3 linked regions of the Anolis sagrei genome follow. The protein of the gene in region 2 purifies or fractionates together with the protein of the main gene of each other region. This does not show direct contact. Links are inferred from orthologs where the notes say so. Each region holds a gene or a part of one and is shown on either strand. Other genes may lie near its edges. The genes, in order: BRIX1, EBNA1BP2 and NOP2.

What was found.
Region 1: the proteins of EBNA1BP2 (region 2) and BRIX1 purify together in Homo sapiens (affinity purification with mass spectrometry; 4 studies listed by BioGRID and IntAct, counting the BioPlex papers as one, with this or other methods). This does not show direct contact. The link is inferred for Anolis sagrei from reciprocal best matches to the Homo sapiens genes EBNA1BP2 and BRIX1.
Region 3: the proteins of EBNA1BP2 (region 2) and NOP2 fractionate together in Homo sapiens (co-fractionation; 3 studies listed by BioGRID and IntAct, with this or other methods). This does not show direct contact. The link is inferred for Anolis sagrei from reciprocal best matches to the Homo sapiens genes EBNA1BP2 and NOP2.

Annotation. Positions count from the first base shown.
Region 1 is NC_090022.1:280,049,639-280,057,474, forward strand, and holds the start of BRIX1 (ribosome biogenesis protein BRX1 homolog), read right to left. Parts: upstream 3,069-7,836; 5' UTR 3,026-3,068; coding exon 2,855-3,025; intron 2,578-2,854; coding exon 2,466-2,577; intron 1-2,465. Other genes in the region: cell cycle checkpoint protein RAD1, read left to right, coding at 6,570-6,764, 7,651-7,759. UniProt on the Homo sapiens protein: Required for biogenesis of the 60S ribosomal subunit.
Region 2 is NC_090024.1:183,205,589-183,213,629, reverse strand, and holds the start of EBNA1BP2 (probable rRNA-processing protein EBP2), read right to left. Parts: upstream 3,029-8,041; 5' UTR 2,956-3,028; intron 2,426-2,955; 5' UTR 2,386-2,425; coding exon 2,311-2,385; intron 1,076-2,310; coding exon 992-1,075; intron 285-991; coding exon 118-284; intron 1-117. Other genes in the region: CFAP57 (cilia- and flagella-associated protein 57), read left to right, coding at 3,215-3,371, 6,344-6,660. UniProt on the Homo sapiens protein: Required for the processing of the 27S pre-rRNA.
Region 3 is NC_090022.1:197,352,249-197,359,379, reverse strand, and holds the start of NOP2 (28S rRNA (cytosine(4447)-C(5))-methyltransferase), read left to right. Parts: upstream 1-4,063; 5' UTR 4,064-4,141; coding exon 4,142-4,247; intron 4,248-6,578; coding exon 6,579-6,624; intron 6,625-7,131. UniProt on the Homo sapiens protein: S-adenosyl-L-methionine-dependent methyltransferase that specifically methylates the C(5) position of cytosine 4447 in 28S rRNA. Required for efficient rRNA processing and 60S ribosomal subunit biogenesis.

The sequences.
Region 1 (7,836 bases), on a different chromosome or scaffold from region 2:
CATCACTGAATCAAAGAATTGGAAGATCCCACAAGGGCCTTTCCAGTCCAAACCCCTTCTGTCATAAAGGAAAAACACAATAAAAGCACTCCAGACAAATGGCCGTTCAGTTTCTGAATAAAAAGTTCAACCATGTTCTGAGGAAGCATATTCCACAGCTTAACTTAACATCAGGATATTCTAATTTTCCTGCAATTTGAATCCATTGCTCTGTGTCCTGCTGTCCAGAGCCACAGAAAACAAGCTTGCCCTCTCCCTCAATGTGACATCGGCAAAAGTATGATAGCTAGGACCCAACGAACCCTATGGCAGTTGCACAACCCACGTCGGAATTAATGAAGGGAAGTCTGCTTGGACTGTTTCCAGCTGCTGGGGCTGCTTTCTTCGAAGGGCAAAAAGTGTGCTGGTGGCCCGGAAGGTTTTTACAGGCCCTAGTGCAAACAGAGTGGCAGGCACGGGATCCCACCAACCCTTCCCCTTTTCTTCTGCTTTTCCCCACCCGCTTTCTGACAGTGGAGGAGCCAGGGCTACGGGAGGGCTGGATGTGTGAGCCCTACAACAGATGTGATTGGTGGGAACGAGAGACAGGGCCTTCTCAGTGGTGGCCCCTCGGCTATGGACCGCCTTCTCTAGGGATATTAGATTTGCCCCCTCCCTCCTAACATTCCGAAAGAGAGTTAAAACCTGGCTGTTTGAGCAGGCATTTGCAGACACAGTATAACTTATTAATTAAGACTCATGGAACAATTGGACGACGTGACGGAAAAATGATTTTAATGATGGGACGCTGAGGACTTGTGCTTTATGGCTTTATTCTTTTATTGCTTTTATGTTTTGTATTATACGTAATGTTTTTGACTGTATTTTATGTTCTGGGGCATTGACTGCCGACTGTAAACACCTCACGTCGCCTCCGGGCTGAGAGGAGTGGTATACAACTATAGTAAATAAATACTATATTTACAAATATAGTAAATAAATATTATTGTTTATTTATTTAAATAAATAAATAAAAAAACACAGCTCCTCCTTCCCTTGCAGCTGCATCTCTGACTTGCTGCGCTGTCTCGCGCACGTCTTCCCTTCATGAATTCTGGCCCACGGTGCGCAACCAGCGTAGGGTCCCAGCTATCATACTTTTGCTGTTACATTCTTTCAAATATTTAAACACGACTCTCATGTCTCTTTCTCCAAGCCTTTCCTCATAGGGCTTGGTTTCCAGACCTTTCTGCTTACTAGAGAAACACCACTGGAGAAATTACACTGTTTAGCCAGTACTGCACGATCTGACATCTGCCATGAAGTAGCAACCAATAGTGAAAGGGCCAAGGTAGTGACATCTCCAGCTCATCCCCTGTTTGGATGAGCTGGAGTCAGCACATCAACGACTTAAATCAAGAAATAGTTTTGTAAGATCTACAGAGACACTCGCTGCAACACCTCAGCAAGCGAGAGTCCAAAAATGGCAGGCTCAAACCCAGAACGTCAATCAATGGCTGATATGTAATGAGAGACTCCCCCCTGAGTACACAGAGGACTGGGCAACTTGGAAGGCGCTGAACAGATTGCGCTCTGGCACCACGATATCATAGAATCAAAGAGTTGGAAGAGACCTCATGGGCCATCCAGTCCAACCCCCTGCCAAGAAGCAGGAATATTGAATTCAAATGCAGAGCCAACCTTCAGAAATGGGGCCACAAAGTGGAATCCATGACCTGCGAGTGTGGAGAAGAGCAAACCACAGACCACCTACTGCCCTGCTACATGCACAATGGAGGACCTTCTTGCAGCAACACCAGAGGCACTCCAAGTGGCCAGCTACTGGTCAAAGGACATTTAATCCTATGAACCAGTTAGGACATTAAGATTGTCTGGGGAGGCCCTGCTCTCGATCCCGCCAGCTTCACAAGCACGCCTGGTGAGACGAGAGACAGGGCCTTCTCAGTGGTGGCCCCTCGGCTGTGGAACGCCCTTCTTGCGGATATTAGATCGACCCCCTCCTTACTGGCATTCCGGAGGAAAGTAAAGACCTAGCTGTTTAAGGCATTCGACTAAGCAGTGTGACTAATTGACTGATTATCGGAACACGGAATAATGGATAATGAGTTTGGATTCTGATTTCATTGATGAGACCTGATGGATTTGTTATATTGATGTACTGATGTATTGATGCTGATGTTTAATGATTTGTGATGCTATTGCTTTTAAATGCCTAATGATTTTGTATTGTGTATACCTAAACTGTTGTAAACCGCTCTGAGTCGCCTAAGGGCTGAGAAGAGCGGTATACAAATAAAGTAAGTAAGTAAATAAATAAAATAATAAATTAATCAACTACCAAGCTTGCAAACTTTGTGTTTTGTTTGTTTGTTTGTTTAAAAATGCAATGCAACTGTTCGGTCTGCCCCTGACACGATAAATAAACAGCTTACTAGAAACCAAATACATGCAATATCTGAAATTACCTGCTTTGGAGTGAGGCATCAGTGTTCGCAGGTCTTTCATCAGGTGCCTTGTCCTAAAATTTATGCCTCTGGAGGAAAAAATGAGCACCCTCTCTTTGTTTTTCCATTTGCCCTGAAAGATACAAGGACGATACAGATCAGTTCTGGGAAGAGGGGGAATCGCCTTGAACATTACATCTCTAGATACCACATGAGGTGCATCTACACTATATGGCTGAATGGTATAGAACAGTACTGGGCCAACTTGGGCCCTCTCTCCAGGTGTTTTGGACTTCAACTCCCACAATAGGCTGGTAGGCTGTTAGGAATTGTGGGAGTTGAAGTCCAAAACACCTGGAGGGAGGGCCCAAGTTGGCCCAGGCCTGGTGTAGGTGGAATCTCCGTCTCACCTGCGAGACCGGGGCCGGGATGTGGTGCTCCTCTGGGCCCGGCCCTCCGGCAGGAACTTCTTTCTCTTCCCTCTTGGCTTTGGCCTCCGGAGCCTTCTTCGCCCGCTTCCTTTTCGGCCCCGCCGCGTTGCCTTGCCCGGCGCCTCCACGCTGCCTCTTGCCCGCCGCCATCTTTGCCTGCCGCCCTCAGAGGAAGCGGAAGTGGCGTCACCAAGCGGACGCTCCAAGAATTCATCAACCAGAGAGTTCCATCCCTAGGCACACACTTCCGGCTTGATCAGAGGCTGAGAGCAGGAGGGAAATATGGGTTCATATTAGGTCGAATGGCATTGTGAGTTTCTTAAGAGAATTTCAGCAAGAGTTGCTTGTGACCTGGGAGGCATCTACACTGTGGAATTAATGCGGTTTGGTCCCGCTTTAACTGCCATGGCTCCAGGGATTTGTATTTTAGTGCAGTGACTGGCAGAGAAGGCTAAAGAGCCTTAGCTTTGCACGTTTCTCAGTCTCTCTGCAATTTATGGCGACCCCATAGGTTTCAGAGGGCTTTCTTTGGCAAGGGACACAGAGAGGAAGCTTTGCTGCTCCTCCCCCTGTCGCTGCAGAGCGAATGAGAGGCTCTTTTACAACTTGTCGTAAAGCAACTACTACCAGTTGCTTTGCATTTCCCTGTCGTGCCTTTTCCACCTTTCAACCAATAGGCTGGCAATTCCTCTTTGGCTGCTACCTTCCAGCTGTCAAGCAGGTAAGGCTCACTTATCATAGAATCAAAGAGTTGGAAGAGACCTCATGGGCCATCCATTCCAACCCCCTGCCAAGAAGCAGGAATATTGCATTCAAATCACCCCTGACAGATGGCCATCCAGCCTCTGTTTAAAAGCTTCCAAAGAAGGAGCCTCTGCCACACTCCAGGGCAGAGAGTTCCACTGCTGAATGGCTCTCACAGTCAGGAAGTTTTTCCTCATGTTCAGATGGAATCTCCTCTCTTGTAGTTTGAAGCCATTGTTCTGCGTCCTAGTCTCCAGGGAGGCAGAAAACAAGCTTGCTCCCTCCTCCCTGTGGCTTCCTCTCCCATATTTATACATGGCTATCATATCCCCTGTCAGCCATCTCTTCTTCAGGCTAAACATGCCCAGCTCCTTAAGTCGCTCCTCATAGGGCTTGTTCTCCAGACCCTTGATCATTTTAGTCGCCCTCCTCTGGACACATTCCGGCTTGTCAATATCTCTCTTGAATTGAGGTGCCCAGAATTGGACACAATATTCCAGGTGTGGTCTAACCAAGGCAGAATAGAGAGGTAGCATGACTTCCCTAGATCTAGACACTATGCTCCTATTGATGCAGGCCAAAATGCCATTGGCTTTTTTTGCCGCCACATCACATTGTTGGCTCATGTTTAACTTGTTGTCCACGAGGACTCCAAGATCTTTTTCACTCGTACTGCTCTCAAGCCAGGCGTCCCCCATTTTGTATCTTTGCATTTCGTTTTTCCTGCCAAAGTGGAGTATCTTGCATTTGTCACTGTTGAACTTCATTTTGTTTGTTGAATTTTTGCCTGGCTTTGGATGCATCTACAGTGTAATATTAATGTAGTTCAGCATCTTTATTAATAACTTTGATCAGGGGTCCTCAAACTTTTTAAACAGAAGGCCAGGTCACAGTCCCTCAAACTGTTGGAGGGCCGGATTATAATTTGAAAAACACATGAATGAATTCCTTTGTGCACTGCACATGTCTTATTTGTAGTGCAGAAAACAATTAAAACAATATAATAATTAAAATTAAGAACAATTTTAACAAATATAAACTTATTAGTATTTCAATGGGAAGTGTGGGCCTGCTTTTGGCTGATGAGATAGGATTGTTGTTGTTGTTGTGTGCTTTCAAATAATTTCAGATTTAGGTTGACCCTGAGCGAGGGCCGGGTAAATGACTTGGAGGGCCATATCTGGCCCCCGGGCCTTAGTTTGAGGACCCCTGACTTAGATGAAGGGTTAGAAGGCAGGATCATCAAGTTTGCAGACGACACCAAATTGGGAGGGAGAGCCAATACTCCAGAGAACAGGAGCAGGATTCAAAACGATCTTGACAGATAAGAGAGATGGGCCAAAACTAACAAATGAAGTTCAACAGTGACGAATGGAAGATACTCCACTTAGGCAGAAAAAATGAAATGCAAAGATACAGAATGGGGGATGCCTGGCTCGAGAGCAGTACGTATGAAAAAGATCTTGGAGTTCTCGTAGACAACAAGTTAAACATGAGCCAACAATGTGATTTGGTTCCAAAAAAAAAAAAAAAGCCAATGGGATTTTGGACTGCATCAATAGGAGTATAGTGTCTACATCCAGTGAAGTCATGCTCCCCCTCTGTTCTGCCTTGGTCAGACCACACCTGGAATCACACTGTGTCCAGTTCTGGGCACCACAATTGAAGGGAGATGTTGACAAGCTGGAATGTGTCCAGAGGAGGGCAACTAGAATGATCAAGGGTCTGGAGAACAAGCCCTGTGAAGAGCGGCTTAAAGAGCATGTTTAGCTTTCAGAAGATAAGGCTGAGAGGAGACATGATGAGGGCCATGCATAAATATGTGAGGGGAAGTCATAGGGAGGAGGGAGCAAGCTTGTTTTCTGCTGCCCTGGAGACTAGGGCGAGGAACACTGGCTTCAAACTACAAGAAAGGAGATTCCATCTGAACATTAGGAAGAACTTCGTGTGAGAGCTGTTCAGCAGTGGAACTCTCTGCCCCGGAGTGTGGTAGAGGCTCCTTCTTTGGAAGCTTTTAAACAGAGGCTGGATGGCCATATGTCAGGGTTGCTTTGAATGCAATTTTCCTGCTTCTTGGCAAGGGGTTGGACTGGATGGCCCATGAGGTCTCTTCCAGCTCAATGATTCTATGATTCTAGTTTCATACTGCCATGGCTCAATGCTATGGGATCCTGGGAGTTGTAGTTTGGTGAGGCACCAGCATTCTTTAGCAGATAAAGCTAAAGACCTCCCATGGTCTCATTGAGCCATGGCTGTTAAAGTTGTGTTGATCTGCATTAATGTGCAAACTTCAGCCCTCTGGGTGTTTTGGACTTCAACTCCCACAGTTCCTAACAGCCTACTTGCTGTTCGGAATTGTGGGAGTTGAAGTCCAAAATACCCTGAGGGCCAAAGTTTGCCCATGCTTGGTGTAGTAGATGCACCCTGTGCCTCCCAAAAGCGGTGAAAGTATAATAGCTTGGACCCAGTGGTTGCATAACGCGGCTCTGAATTAGAGAAGGGAACACGTGCACCAGACACAGCACCATGTGTGCGAGAGACTGCACTTAGTGAAAGATGAAGCTACGATGGAGTCAACAAGGTAGTTTGGTAGAAAGGGGGGGAGGCACAGCCAAGCATACTGATGTAGGCTATCTGGAGATATTCAAAAACGTTGTTGCATTGGAAGGAAGGATAAAAAGGAAGGGAGAAATATGAGGAGCGGTGAAAAATGAATTAAATGCGGTCACTCTTACATTACTTCACTGGTATCCTGCCGCAGCTGCGTCTCTCACTCGGTGCACTGTTTCGCACATGTTTTCCCTTTTCTAATTCAGAGCAACTGGGTCCCTGATGCTCATATAATATTTTATGACTTCTCAATTTAACTATAATGCAATTGGATCTTTACAGGTCTCCTCTGGGAATCCCTGCCCTTGGAGGGGAGACTGTGGAGTGACTTCTCCAAGCCATGCCTCTATCGACTCAAGCAGAAACAGGTGAAGAACAGAACGTTTTGGTAGCAAATCTTGACAATGTCAGGAACCTGTCCAATATCCTGAAAGCCATTCATTTTAAAGATCACGCCACCTGTGTTGCTACTACAAATGGACTCAAAGTGACAGTCGAAAATGCAAAGTGTTTGCAGGCCAATGCATTTATACAGGTGAGATGGCAGCATTTCCTTTCCTTTTAGTGCTCTGGAATGACTTGGATTCAGGAGGAGGAATTAAAGGAACATTGGGAATAACATGTGAAAGTCCTATGGGAGATAGCAGTATCTGGCAAACTAAGGGCCCTGCCAGACAGGCTCTATATCCCAGGATCAGATCCCAAGTTTTCTGCTTTAAACTGGATTATATGAGAGCCCCTTCCACACAGCTGAATAAAATCCCACATTATCTGCTTTGAACTGGAATATGTGGCAGTGTAGACTCAGGTAACCCAGTTCAAAGCAGATATTCTGGGATGTTGTGCCTTGGTATTTTGGGTTATATGGCTGTGTGGAAGGGCCCTGAGTTTGCACTGCCATATAATCTGGGATAAACAGAAAACCTGGGATTAGATCCTGGGATATAGGGCCTGTCTTAAAGGGCTTTAAGGTTCCTTCTATACAGCCATATATTAGGGCCCTTCCACACAGCCATATAACCAAGAATATCAAGGCAGATAATCCATAATATCTCCTTTGAACTGAATTATCTGAGTCCACACTGCCATATATTCCAGCTCAATGTTGCTTTTATACAGCTGTGTGGAAGGGGCCTTAGTCTACAATACCATATAATCCAGTTTAAAGCAGATAATCCAGATTTTATATGACAATGTAGATGGGGCCATAGAGTACTGTACTGTGATAGTAATGAGATAATACGATCGAATGAGGAAAAGGGAGTTTTGTTTAGAAAAAAAAATCCCATTTTCTTTTTTGGTTTTGTTATTCTGAGTTGGGTTACAAGGACACATGCATGGTAAATTGCCAATTTAATTGTCTTACTATAATGTTGGTACCGGTTGAAATTTTTCAAGTTTCTTGTCTTTCCAATTTACAGGCAGGTATTTTCCAAGAGTTTATGGTTCAGGAAGAATCTGTGATGTTCAGAATCAACCTGTCTGTTCTTTTAGACTGCTTGACCATCTTTGGAACAAGTTCGTCCCCAGGTATTTCCTCTATGTGGGTTTTGGTAGATTACATTCACCAAGCCTATTATACAAGATGCTCAACTTGTAATGTACTT
Region 2 (8,041 bases):
AGCTGGCACAAGGGTTTAACTTAGGGTTCCAACTTTTGTTATGTTAAGAGGATAAATAAAATACAACACACAAAGCTTCCAATTACAGTGAGGAAACTCAAGAAGAAATAGACTTACAAACTCATTTCTCTTTTGAAGTCATCCTCAGGATCATCAGCATCATTGTCAGTGGTTTGATTAGAAGGAGCACTCGTGGTGTTTGTTGGCAGGTAAGAGGTAAGATCAAGCCTTTCAACCCAGTCCAAGTCCCTCTGGAACTCAGATAAGCACTGCTTCAGTCCATTCTAGGAAGAATATGATGTGAGGATTAGAGTAATACAAAGAACTTCCATACACTATTTAATAGTTTTTTCCAACCTAGTGCTCTTCACACATGTTGAACTACAACTTCTTCCAACATGTTCAGCCAATATTGGCCATGCTAGATCTGCATGATGTAGATTCTAGTGCAGCACCTTGGGGAAAGGCTGTGCTGTCATGACAACTAAAACAATCGTATGAAAATCCCCACCCATCCCTAAAACCATCAACTAGATCTTATGCTGATAAAAGCATTCCCTTAAGATTCCCATTAGATATCACACACTGTATTTACTGCTTCCTAGCCAAGGAGACACCAGGTTTTTTTAAAAATAAAAGCTTTTCCTAGTCATAAGCTATAAGCAAAAATGAAGGTGCTTCTGCCTCAACAAGGACAACATCAACAGAAATTGATGCAAGCTTCTCTGTCTTGAAGAAAAAGAATAAATGACCACATTTTATATCCTTGACAGAATGTTTCAAATTGATTTTGCTATGTGTAGCAAATAGATACCAATGTATTTAAATGACCCCCACCTCCAGTTCAATACCATCCGGAGTTTATTTGCAATGACTTCATTCTGGCAAAATACTGGGGTTTTTTTCAGTAATCAAAATGTTCCACTTGGAGAAGTAGATGAACCACACACATGAACTGATTCCACATGGGTCACAGTCATACAGGACTCACCACATTGTTGATAATTTTCGGCCGTCCCTCAAGCACAACATTTAAGCCTGGCTTTAGTGATCCTTTAGAAAACGCCTGCTGGAGCTACATAAAGAAATCTTATATGTACATTTTCTTGGATAGTGTTACCATACACAAATATCAAAAAAGCTTATTTAGTCACCCCTTTGATAACGGAAAGGAATGTGTAAATGCTCAATACATAGAAACATAAGGAGAATGAGGAGAATGATCAAAAGATATAATGTAGTCTTCCAGATGTCATTAGACTACAATTCACATAATTTTTCTCCACAAGGTATGCTAATTAGGGGGAAAGGAAATTGCAGTTGACTATCTGAAGGACCAAACCACACATTCCAGTTCCAAATAGTCAATGCAGAAATCTATTTTATATTGACATGTTCTGACACTGCATTGTCATTTGGTGGACACTTGGTCAAATCTTTTTTCCTCAAGTTTTGACACAATGAGGTTCTTTCATACTCCGTTTCTTGCCTTTAATACAAAAATAACACTATTTAATCGGATATTCTCTCCTATCTTGTTCATGCCTAACATTATTTTTTTTAAACTTTGATTTGGCCCAGCCATAGATTTTAAATGTGTGTTGTATTACTGTCACTGTTTATTGCTTTTTTGTTTATGAGCTTTATTTTAATTGTTTTTATTTTTGTTGTTATTGCTTGTATTGATGTATTTTGGGCTCGGCCTCATGTAAGCCACACCGAGTCCCTTGGGGAGATGGTAGTGGGGTACAAATAAAGTATTATTATTATTATTATTATTATTATTCTAATCGAGATAATCTACATAAAGTTCTTTGCACCTTTAAAATATTGTTCATAAAGATGAAATATCATTAGGTGTTATTGATATATTTAAATACAGTTTCCAGCTTCTATTACTGTGAAATGAAGTTGTGCATCCTACACACAGCTATTACAACAATGTAGCATCCTTGCTCTAAACAAGATGAAAAAATGGCCTTCCATCGCAGCCTATGAAGAGAAATGGTTACCAGGGCCAATCCCAAACTGATATGGAACTCATCTACAACTCTCAGTCCTTTACGTCACTAGTTTATCACAGTGGTTTTCAACCTTTGGTCCTCCGGGTGTTTTGGACTTCAACACCCAGAAATCCCAACCATTTTACCATCAGTTAGGACTTGTGGGAGCTGAAGTCCAAAACACCTGGAGAACCAAAGTTTGGGAAACAGTATATTATCAGATCCCCTACTCAGCCATGCCCCTAAGAGAGAAAAAGTGGCCCGCCCCCACTCCTGCACAGAACAAACAATAACAGTCCAAACTCACCTCACGGTCTGTAACAAGAGACTCATCCGAATCTGAGGACGACGACCAATCTTCGTCCATTTCCATGTGGGGCATCTCAGATCCTTTTATGATAACTGGATTCAACTAAGCTGCACTGAAAGGCAAAATAGTTAGAAAACACATTCCATCCCCCAGGAACATGAGCTAAAATGGGAGTAACTGCACAAATAACCTAAATGCACGAGATCAAAACAACTTATTAATGCAAGCAATCCAAAATACTGGCCAATACAGGTATATACCATAAAAATCCAATCTAACCATCGCTAATAATAAATATGCATCCCATTATGATTCATTCAGACTAGAGTAAGAAAGATAGGTGATTAAATGTTGTATAGGTTGAAAAAAAAATACTATCTTTGTATAAAGTTAGTCTGAACTGTTTCCTCCCCAATTTTGGAAACAGGGTGCATCTACACTGTAGAATTAACGCAGTTCAATATCGCTTTAGTCTTAAACTGCACTCTATGCGAGGCATGGGCAAACTTTGGCCCTCCAGGTGTTTTGGACTACAACTCCCACCATTCCTAACAGCCTACCGGCTGTTAGGAATGGTGGGAGTTGCAGTCCAAAACACCTGGAGGGCCGAAGTTTACCCCAGCCTGTTAGAAGCACACTTACCTCCCACCGACTGAACACGAGGAAACCATACAACAGCTACTTCCGGTACGGATGTGACGTCCTACGGGACATTTCCGATTCGTTTCGGCCATCTTTTTCGAGGGTGCTACATCCGGGACGCTGTTGCCATAGCAACCGGCTGTAAAGCGTTGTCTCCCTGGTCGACTCAAGGCTGCAGACAGAGCAAGCGAGGCCGAGACGGACTGTCAGGCGGTGGTTGCTCTCGTTTTTCCGGCACAGGCTCCGAACCTGCGGCGCCATGTCGGTGATCGTGGCCCAAGCGCTGCACATCTTTGGCTTCCAGTCTCGCGTGGCCAATAACATTTGTTTCTTTGACGAGCAGATCATAGTGTACCCCGCGGGGAATAGCTGCGTGAAGTATCACATTGAGCAGAAATGGCAGAAGTTCATCCCAGGTAAATCTAGCCACCTCCCTCCAGGTGTATTGATGTTTTCATCCAGTGGTTCTCAACCTGTGGGTCCCCAGGTGTTTTGGCCTTCAGCTCCCAGAGATCGTAGCAGCAGTTAGATCCTAACAGCTGGGATTTCTGGGAGTTGTAGGCCAAAACACCTGGGGACCCACAGGTTAAGAACCACTGTTTTAATCCATCTCCATCAGGCATGGGCAAGCTTCGGCACTCCAGGTGTTTTGGACTTCAGCTCCCACAATTCCTAACAGTCTCAGGCCCCTTGCTTTTCCCTCTCAGCCACTAAAACTATGACATCTAACAAAACTAAATCTAAAACAAACACACAACTACTAAAACTATTCTACAAATTTCACATTCAGTGTGGTGTTGTTCATTCATTCAGTCCGACTCTTCGTGACCTCATGGACCAGCCCACGCCAGAGCTCCCTGTCGGCCGTCACCACCCCCAGCTCCTTCAAGGTCAGTCCAGTCACTTCAAGGATGCCATCCATCCATCTTGCCCTTGGTCGGCCCCTCTTCCTTTTGCCTTCCACTTTCCCCAGCATAATTGTCTTCTCTAGGCTTTGCTGTCTCCTCATCATGTGGCCAAAGTACTTCAACTTGGTCTCTAGTATCCTTCCCTCCAATGAGCAGTCGGGCTTTATTTCCTGGAGGATGGACTGGTTGGATCTTCTCGCAGTCCAAGGCACTCTCAGGACTTTCCTCCAACACCACAGCTCAAAAGCATCGATCTTCCTTCGCTCAGCCTTCCCTAAGGTCCAGCTCTTACATATTCAGTGTAAACCTATCATATCATGCAGTTCAATGTCTAGCTGGCCATATAATGCAGTTCCAAGCTGTTTGATATTGCAGAGTATATCCAGCCCCAATCTGTTGATATTTACCCCCTAATTATCCTACTTCCTTTGGATAACACTGTATCACCACACCTCTGTGTTTCATCACATTCCTCTAGTCCAGTGGTTCTCAACCTGGGGTCCCCAGATGTTTTTGGCCTTCAACTCCCAGAAATCCTAACAGCTGGTAAACTGACTGGGATTTCTGGGAGTTGTAAGCCAAAACACCTGGGGACCCACAGGTTGAGAACCACTGTACTACATACTACATTCCCCTTTGGAAATGGGCTGGGGCTGGGGGGCTGGACCCAGACAGAGAGTGTAAGCGAGTAGGGTGTAAGTGAATGGAAGCAATCACAGTGTAGAGGAAAAAGACCTGATGAATGCTATTTTTCCCAAAAGGGATGCCAAAATCTGCCCCTGTTCAGAACTCAGAGGCAGTTCTGTTTTGCCTTCTGCTGTCTATTCAACAAGTTAATATTTTAAGTCACTGGTGAGTGTGTTTCCAGAGGCTATTATTATTATTATTATTATTATTATTATTAACTTTATTTGTACCCCGCTAGCATCTCCCGAACGACTCGATGGGGCTTACAAAGGCCAAGGCCTCAAAACACAACATAACAATACACAACCTAAAGCAAATTAAAAAATTAAAAACAGTTAAAGCAGAATTACACAACAAGCAATAAGCAATACACCAAGACACTGGGCCGGGCCAGAGTAATGGGTACAGATCAAAAGTGCTGAAGTGACAGGTGATATGTAAGGATTATAGAGTAAGTGCAGTGTGCCAGCAATCTTAATTCTAATAAAGTGCTTCTGGGACTTGTTATTGGAGTTTTCCTATTCTGGAAAGGCACAGGGTGGAGTGGGCCTTTTCCAGTCTGTTTCAGTATACATACTGCTCTAGTCCCAGCATGGGCAAACTTCAGCCCTCCAGTTATTTTGGACTGCAACTCCTACAATTCCTAACAACTGGTATTTATTTATCGTGTCAGGAGCGAACCAAAAGGTTGTATTGTATTTTACACAAAGTTTGCAGACTTGGTATTCTATTAAATGTTGTTTGACCAGTAGCTGGCCACTTGGAGTGTCTTAGGTGTTACTATAAGAAGGTTCTCCATTGTGCATGTGGCAGGGCTCAGGTTGCATTGTAGTAGGTGGTCTGTGGTTTGCTCTTCTCCACACTCGTGGACTCCACTTTGTAGCCCCATTTCTTAAGGTTGGCTCTGCATCTCGTGGTGCCAGAGCACAGTCCATTCAGTGCCTTCCATGTTGCCTAGTCTTCTGTGTGCCCAGGAGAGAGTCTCTCATGGTATCAGCCATTAATTGAGGTTCTGGATTTTAGCCTGCCACTTTTGGACTCTCGTTTGCTTAGGTGTTCCAGTAAGTGTCTCTGTAGATCTTACAAAACTATTTCTTGATTTAAGGCGTTGGCGTGCTAGCTGACATCCAAACAGGGGATGGGCCGGAGATGTTACTGCCGTGGTCCTTTCACTATTGGTTGCTACTTCCCGGCGGATGTCAGGTGGTGCAATACTGGCTAAACAGTGTAATTTCTCCAATGGTGTAGGGCGCAGACACCCCGTGATAATGCAGCATGTCTCATTAAGAGCCACTGATTTAGCGTGGTGAGATGTGTTCCACACTGGGCCTGCATACTCAGCAGCAGCGTAGCAAAGTGCAAGGGCAGATGTCTTCACTGTATCTGGTTGTGATCCCCAGGTTGTGCCTGTCAGCCAGTAGGCTGTTAGGAATTGTGGGAGTTGAAGTCCAAAACACTGGGAGGGCAGATGTTTGCCCATGCCTGCCCTAGTCTAATGCATTGAAGATTTCCCCCATCATTGCTGTGAATTGGTGGTTCAATTGCATTGAACTATGGCAATTAAAGTGATGTCAAACTATCTGCATTTTACAGTGTAGCTGTACCCGTAGATATGGTTCTGCCAGTTCCTTCCTTTGAAATGTAACCCACACACCTGATATTCATTGGCAGTCTCCCATACAATACCAACATGCATTGATTTATTGTCATTTTGGATAACAAAAATGTTTAAGTTTCCAGGTTATGCTCATGGAAGTTTTGCTTGTATGTGCACATGTGTGTTTGCTTTACAGGCTCAGAGAAAAGTCAAGGGATGCTTGCACTGGCAATTAGTCCAAATCGGCGCTATCTGGCCATTTCAGAGACACTCCAGGATAAACCTACTATCACAGTTTATGAACTGTCCTCTGTCCCATGCAAGAAACGAAAGGTCCTGAACTCCTTTGATTTCTCTGTCCAAGAATTTATCAGCCTGGCATTTTCCCCGGATTCTAAGTATCTAGTGGCACAGACAGGGGCCCCTGATTCACACCTTGCCTATTGGATGTGGGAAAAGCAAAGAACAATGGCTATTATTAAGGTTGATGCTCAGAACAATCCCCTCTATCAGGTAAGATGAAAGACAAAGATGAATATCCTGGGTAGGCCACATTTAAATAATACTCAGGTACTTACTCTCACTGCATTATTACTTCAATGAATACTTTTTCACAATTGGAGACCACAGTTAGTGAAGCTGTGATTGTTACAATGGTGTTAACATGAAATCCAAGCTCCAAACTTCCTTTTGCACAATGTTTTCCTGTACTCAGAAGGCAGGGTACACACATATTTTAGATCAGCAGTTACACTTAAGGCAGTACTGTCCTGCTCTTCCAGTTACTGAATGTATATCCAGTAGTCTTTGTTCATAAATTGCATGTCCCCAAAATAGTCCAAACCTAGAATTAGGTCTCGGTTTGAGATTGTTGTGATAGAACCCCATCACTATAAAGAAGCGCAGGACAGATTTCAAAGCACTAACAATCCAGTCTAGAAATTCCAGTATATGAAGCTGCCTTAGGTTAGTCATTTTGATGATGGCTCGGCTCTGCTCATGAAATTGGCATTATGTGTAAACATTTCTAATGGAATATCTCAGGTATAGAAAAGTAGAGATTTCCATAGTTCCGGTTCAGTCCTTGGGTGCTTATTTTTTTGTATTTTCCTTCACAACATAAATATAATGTTCTGGAGACAAAGCCTCAAAAGGGTTGTGGGTGGTGGATGTAATCAGCACACCTAAAATCATGAACCTGAGCAAGAGTTTCTCTGACAAATATGTTCCCATACATCAGGATCATACTGGCTTCCTAATCACAAATGAAGGCCTCCCTCATGTCCTTTCGAAAAAGCCTTAAGACATGGCTGTTCGAGAGGGCATTTAATTAATTAAGTGCTAAACAACAAAACAATACGGTAATGAGAACTGGAATGGAACAAGGAATATGAGACTGGCTATAATTCCACTAAGAGACAAAGCGGATTTTTAGTGTAGTCTGTAATTTGTTGTATTGTTTATATGTTGTTGAAAATGGCTTTTGTAATTGTCTTTTATGTGTACTGTACGCCGCCATGAGTCGCCCTTACGGGCTGAGAATGGCGGTTAATAAGTGCATCAAATAAATAAATAAATAAATAGATTAAAAGAATCCTCCTAGTCATCTTCAGCCTACCCTGTGTTTAAATATACATATGTTATTCCTGACTGCTGAAGATTTCTTGGCACACATTTTGTAAGTCTTCATGGTCTTATATAAACAAATATCAGTGCTTCAAAAAGTTCTGAACTTTTCTGATTGGCAAGAAGACAAGAGATCAAACTTAATAACTTGTCACTAAGTGACAGGATAGTGAAGCAAATACTAAATCGTATGTAAATAAGAAAGCAGCTGCTATTTTTTTGGTTTATGACATCATTAATGAGCTTCTGCTTAATACAGTAGAAATGT
Region 3 (7,131 bases), on a different chromosome or scaffold from region 2:
TCTGTCAAACTATTTGGGGGATTTTTACAGTGTTAAGTGCCTTCTAGCCTGGCAACCACCCAAGCAGCAGCCAGGCTTTGCTTTTAGGTTAAAATGATCAGCTCTCACGTTTTGTGAGGATCGCAAATAATAACTCCAGTCTGATTTGGATTTATGAGGTTAATTCTTGAAAGGGCTAATCAAATATATTTTGTTTTTTCCATAAACGTTTTGTATACAAGCAGATGGTTATCAGACTATGGGAGGGAGCACCAGTTGCTGATTCTGTACTTTAGTCTCAGCTGTGGTTTTTTTGCCATGAATCAGCCTGAGAGTTACTGTTGTCAGAAGTGGGGAAAGTTTGCAAGAATCTCTTCCAAACTGGTAAAGCTGATGTATAAGTACGTGTACTTAGCTACTTAATGCAATGCTTTTGTTCCCAGAATGGTATTGTGTGAATCTATGAAATCTCAAAGATTCCATTTGTGTACTGATGACTTGCTTTAAGATCATAATTGTTAGGGAAAACTATGCGAAATAAAGCAGAGCATCCAAAAACAATCAGGATACAAAAAGTTGAGCATCAGCTCATTAGCAAGCAAAGCCAAGTGATATGGCTGTAGAGAATTCAGAGCTTAGGAGCCAATCTTTTAAAAAATCACAAAAGGTTTATTTACAACTAGCCGTCCCCTGCCACGCGTTGCTGTGGCCCACTCTGGTGGTCATGGGGGTTCTGTGTGGGAGGTTTGGCCCAATGTTATCATTGGTGGGGTTCAGAATGCTCTGTGATTGTAGGTGAACTACAAATCTCAGCAACTACAACTCTTAAATGTCAAGATTCTATTTTCCCCAAACTCCACCAGTGTTCACATTTGGGCATATTGAGTATTTGTGTAGAGTTTGGTCCAGATCCATCATTGTTTGAGTCCACAGTGCTCTCTGGATGTAGGTGAACTACAACTCCAAAAACCAAAGGACACTGCCCACCAAACCCTTCCAGTATTTTCTGTTGGACATGGGAGAACTATGTGCCAAGTTTGGTTCCATTCCATCCTTGGTGGGGTTCAGAATGCTCTTTGATTGTAGGTGAACTATACATCCCAGCAACTACAACTCCCAAATGACAAAATCATTTTTTGAGTGAAGGACATACATTGGGTTGTTAGGTGTCTTGTGTCCAAATTTGGTGTCAATTTGTCCAGTGGTTTTCGAGTTCTGTTAATCCCACAAACGAACATTACATTTTTATTTATATAGATAATAATGAACTACCTATATTTCTTCATGGTAAAGAACTGGGTCTGAGCTACTCCAACATCCATCTCTTCTAACATTTCAACAGAAGAGAAAACTCAATCATTACATCTCTCCTGACACACAAGCAGAGAGAGATCTCAAAGCACACAGCACATACTCTCCATACTAAAGTGTAGGAAGGCAGAAGTCTGATTCAAAAAGGTTTGCAGTAGAAAAGTATCCAATTTAAAGAATGAGAGCAGAAAGAAGAGATGAAAACAGACACATTCCCAACTGTCATACAGGAGACATGGGGGAAAGGAAAACTCTCAGACTATTCTAATGCTAACCAATTTCTCCTCATTGAGGGCTTGAGACTTGATCAGTGTGGGGTTGCATTCCAACAATAACAACACCCAAACTGTACCATCATTACATAGTTTGGGTGTATTGTATAGTATAGTATAGTATAGTATAGTATAGTATAGTAATGGCTTCGCTAGGAAGCTCTATATAACACAGCTAATGTTCTACTATCCACTAGAATCTGCATATCCCAGGGCATTTTCTCCTTAAACAAGAATTTGGGGTTGGAGTGGGCAGGCGGGTAGATAGGCTTAAATTAGGCACAGGCCTGAGTCCCTCAGGACCACAAGCGCAGGATTGCTGATGTCTTGGAGGTCCAAACAGCTACTATAAGACAAGTAAAATCGTGAGACAAGCAGAAATGGCAGAAATAGCCTACAGAGCTTTCCAACCATTTCATGTTGGTGACACACTGTTTACACATGCATCACAACATATCTCATGAAAATCGTTTATTTTTATTTTTTGTTGTTGTAGGTTTTTCCAGACTATATGGCCATGTTCTAGAGGCATTTTTTTCCTGACGTTTTGCCTGCATCTTTGGCAAGCATCCTTAGAGGTAGTGAGGTCTATTGAAACTAGGAAAATGGATTTATATATCTGTGGAATGACCAGGGTAGGACAAAAAACTCTTGTCTGCTGGAGTTAGGTGTGAATGTTTCAACTGACCACCTTGATTAGCATTTGATGGCCCTGGCAGTGCCTGGGGCAATCTTTTGTTGAGAGGTGATTGGATGTGCCTGATTGTTTCCCCTCTGTTTTGCTGTTGTAATTTTAGAGTTTTTTAAATACTGGTAGCCAGATTTTGTTCATTTTCATGGTTTCCTCCTTTCTGTTGAAATTGTCCACATGCTTGTGGATTTCAATGGCTTCTATGTGTAGTCTGACATGGTGGTTGTTGGTGTGGTCCAGCATTTCTGTGTTCTCAAACAATATGCTGTGTCCAGGTTGGTTCATCATATTTTTATTTTTGTAAATAAAAATGTAACACAAAACTCAGAGGTTTTGTGTTAACATTCGCGCAACACACCCATGCACTCCAGTTGACACAGTACAACACACAGATTGTAAAGCTCTGTTCTACTTGTTTAAATTGCAAAGGATAGTCTACTGTTAGGACAGAGTAAAAAAAAAAGCCAGAAACAAAGCATACAGAGTATGAACATGCAAATATATTTAGCCAAGTGCTTTTTTATATCTACGTGTATGTTACTACTGAGATATTCTACAACTGAGTTCGTAAGGTAGCAACATGGTTGTAATATTTCTAAACTGTTTCGGATACTTTGGGACATGTCTTTTCAGCCATGATTGTTTCTTGTCTGGAGTTCCTCTGTTCTTGAGTGTTGTTTACTCTCCTGATTTTTGATATTTTTTTAAAATATTGGTAGCCAGATTTTGTTCATTTTCATGGTTTCTTCCTTTCTGTTGAATGTGTCTACATGCTTGTGGATTTCAGTGGCTTCTCTGTGTCGTCTGACATGGTGGTTGTGAGAGTGGTCCAGCATTTCTGTGTTCTCAAATAATATGCTGTGCCCAGGTTGGCTCATCAGGTGCTCTGCTATGGCTGGCTTCTCTGATTGAACGAGTCTGCCCTGCCTTTCATGTTTCTTGGGACAGCTTTTCTTTTTTTTGGTCGTGTCAGGAGCGACTTGAGAAACTGCAAGTCGCTTCTGGTGTGAGAGAATTGGCCGTCTGCAAGGACGTTGCCCAGGGGATGCCCGGATTATTTTTTATGTTTTATCATCCTTATGGGAGGCTTCTCTCATGTCCCCCCATGAGGAGCTGGAGCTGATAGAGGGAGCTCATCCGCCTCTCCCTGGATTCGAACCTGCGACCTGTCGGTCTTCAGTTCTGCCGACACAGAGATTTAACCCACCTCGCCACCGGGGGCTTGGGACAGCTAATCAGCTCTCAACAAAGGATTCCCCCGGGCAGTAAGAAGCTACACCTTGAATCTGCTAGGCCATCAAATGCTAATCAAGGTGGCCAATTGCAACATTCACACTTGCCTCAAGCAAAGAAGAGTCCTTTCTCCCACCCTAGACTTTCCATAGATATATAAACCTCACTTGCCTAATTTCCAACAGACCTCATAATCTTTGAGGATGCCTACCACAGATGCGGGCGAAACGTCAGGAGAGAATGCTTCTGGAACATGGCCATACAGCCCGAAAAACTTACAACAACGAAGTCCAAAACACCTGGAGGACTTTGTTTTAAAGAGTAGGCAAAGCACTGCATACCACCTTAATCCTGTAGCTGCCTCCTGCAGAATTATGGGACTTGTAGTTCAGAGAGGCGAAGAAAAGATCTCGCTAGTCTAGCTGGTTCCTCCGTAGACCACAAGCCCCAGGATTTAAAGTGGAACGCACCCTCTTTAACCTATTCCGGACGCAGAAGCGTATCACCCGCTGTCCAATCCCAAGGCGGAGAGCTCTAGCGGAAGGCGCCCCCGTGGCCAATGAGAGCCTCCTCCTGAGGCGGAAGTGCGCGTGGCCGAGGAGGAGGCGGGCCTGCAATCCACGTGCGCGCTTTCGGGGAGCGAGGCCTGAGCAGCATGGGGCGCAAACTGGACCCGGCGAAGAAGGTCAAGCGGGGGCCCGGGCGCAAGGCCCGCAAGCAGCGCGGCGCCGAGGAGGAGCTGGCCGGGTTCCTGCCTCCCGGTGAGTCGGGCCAGGGCTGCCTTGGCCGTGGAAAGCCCTCGGGATGGGCCGAGGCCTCAGGGGCAGAGCACAGCCCTCGCCACAGCATCCCGGGAGTTGCCCTTTGCGGGGAGGCCCCGGCCCTCTTGGGCAGAGAAGGCGGGAGACCTTGTGAAACCACAACTCCCAGGGTTCCTGGCCCTTGATCCGTGCGTGGCCCTTCAAGGAGCCGCATCCTGGGTGGGAGATATAGTGCTCTGTCAGGTCGGAAGTGGACTCATTATATGAGACTGCACTGCCATAGAATCCAGATTATCTGCTTTGGATTGGATTCTGTGGCAGTGTAGACTCATATAATCCGGTTCAAAGCAGATAATGTGGCTTGTCTGCTTTGATAATCTGGATTATATGGCAGTGTGGAAGGGACCTGGTTTATATGGCAGTATAGACTCATATAATCCACTTCAAAGCTGGTAACGTGGATTGTCTGCTTTGATAATCTGGATTATATGGCAGTGTGGAAGGGACCTGGATTATATGGTAGTGTAGACTCATATAATCCACTTCAAAGTTGGTAACGTGGCTTGTCTGCTTTGATAATCTGGATTATATGGCAGTGTGGAAGGGGCCTGGATTACATGGAAGTGTAGACTCATATAATCCACTTCAAAGATGGTAACGTGGATTATCTGCTTTGATAATCTGAATTACATGGCAGTGGGGAAGGGACCTGGATTATATGGTAGTGTAGACTCATATAATCCACTTTAAAGCAGATAATGTGGATTGTGTGCTTTATTCATCTGGATTATATGGCAGTAGACGGGGTTTTACAGAGTTCCAGGGAGAAATTGAAGTGGTTCAGTCATGGGACTGGTTTCTACAGCCCTTTTATACTGCCGTATAAGATTATCTGTTTTGAACTGGGTTATATGACAGTGTAGACATATAATCTAGTTCAAACAGGTAATGTAGATTATCTCATTTAATAATCTGGATTACATGGCAGTCTAGAAGGGGCCAATCTAATCAAAGCATTTATCTCTGATATGTCTAAATGAAGAATGGGCATCCACTGGATTCTCACTAACCTTAGAGGATGATTAGGCAGTTGGAGGGCAAGGAGAGAGATTTTCTTGAAAGGCAAATTGTGGTCATAAATATGGGAGGCAGGACAGTTACTGCTAAATAAGCATCATACCGCCAATGAAAGGGAAACTCACAACACTGAATCCACAAACATTTGCACATATGTACAGGCCTTTGCTTTGATGGTCTGGATTTTATGGCAGTGTAAAAGGAGCTTCATATACTCTGGGACTTCCAAATTCAGACAGACAGCGTTTTGGAGCACAATACTCCTGACCTCACAATCATGTTTAAAAACAAAGTATGGATTGTCAATGTTGCAATCCCAGGTGACAGCAGGATTGAAGAGAAACAACTGAAAAAACTTGACACGATATGAGGATTTAAAAATTGAACTGCAAAGACTCTGGCACAAGCCAGTCAAGGTGGTCCCAGTGGTGATCGGCACACTGGGTGCAGTGCCTAAAGACCTTGGCCTGCACTTAAACACAATCGGCGCTGACAAGATTACCATCTGCCAGCTGCAAAAGGCCACCTTACTGGGATCTGCACACATTATTCGCCAATACATCACACAGTCCTAGACACTTGGGAAGTGTCCGACATGTGATCCAATGCAACAGCCTGCGTCTGCTGTGGACTCATCTTGTTGTGTTTCAAATAATACTAATGATGATGATGATGATAGCAGCAGCAGCCATCCTTATGGCTCGATGTTTCTTCTAGACTGGAAATCTTGCCATTGTCCTTGTTGGGATTTTGTGCATATTTTGCCTTGGGCCCTTCCACATAGCCATATAACCCAGAATATCAAGGCTGATAACCCAGAATATCTGCTTTGAACTGGGTTATCTGAGTCCACACTACCATATATTCCAGTTCAAAGCAGATAATGGGCGATTTTATTCAGCTGTGAGAAAGCAGGCCTACTGCTACTCCTTTTGTGGAAAACACAGATCTCTGTCACACTACACTTTAAAGTATAGGATTTAGAGTGTGCATTCCACCATAGGATCCTGGGATATGTGGTTTGTAGAGGCATCATCCTTTTTTGGCAGAGAAAGCTAAAAACCTTATGAAACTACAGCTCCCATGGTCCCATAGCATGGATCCACAGCAGTTAAAGTGGTGTCAGACTGCACTAATTCTACAGTGTGAATGCAACCTTGAATTCAGCTAGGAGCTCTTGATGTTGTTCTAGCTGTGCTTACTCTCTTGATCAGCCTCCTATAGAGATTGATATGTCTATGTTTTTCTTCCAAGACCCTGATGACAATATAAAGAAGCTCTCCAGTCACGCACGACGAAGGTTAGTAGGAAAGTCACCAAAATTTGCTAACAGTTCAGAATATAACTTCCTCTTCATTTATAAACTGTTAAAAATTATAACATCCTTTTTTAAAATACGGCTTCTCAAACCTATTGAGAATTTGTTGGTTGCTCATAAATATCAGGGTGTTATATTGTGTGTTACTAAAGATTAAAATCAAGTGTGAGAATTTACAATCGAATAAACAATAGATGGCTGTCATTTTAGGCCACCTAATGGAATTAATCACAACCTCTGAGGATGCTTGCTACAGATGCAGGCGAAACATCAGGAGAGACTGCTTCTAGAACATGGCCATATAGCCCGAAAAACCTACAACAACCCAATTGTTTATTCATTTCTTAAAAGCATTTATAGCCTGTTCTTCAGCCAAAAATAATCCCTGAATGTTTCAAAGCTATTCCGTTTTCTTTGGTTTTGACTTTGCTTTGTGCACCGTATGGCCACAGATAATACATATAACAAGGAGAAACTGGCCTATATGTT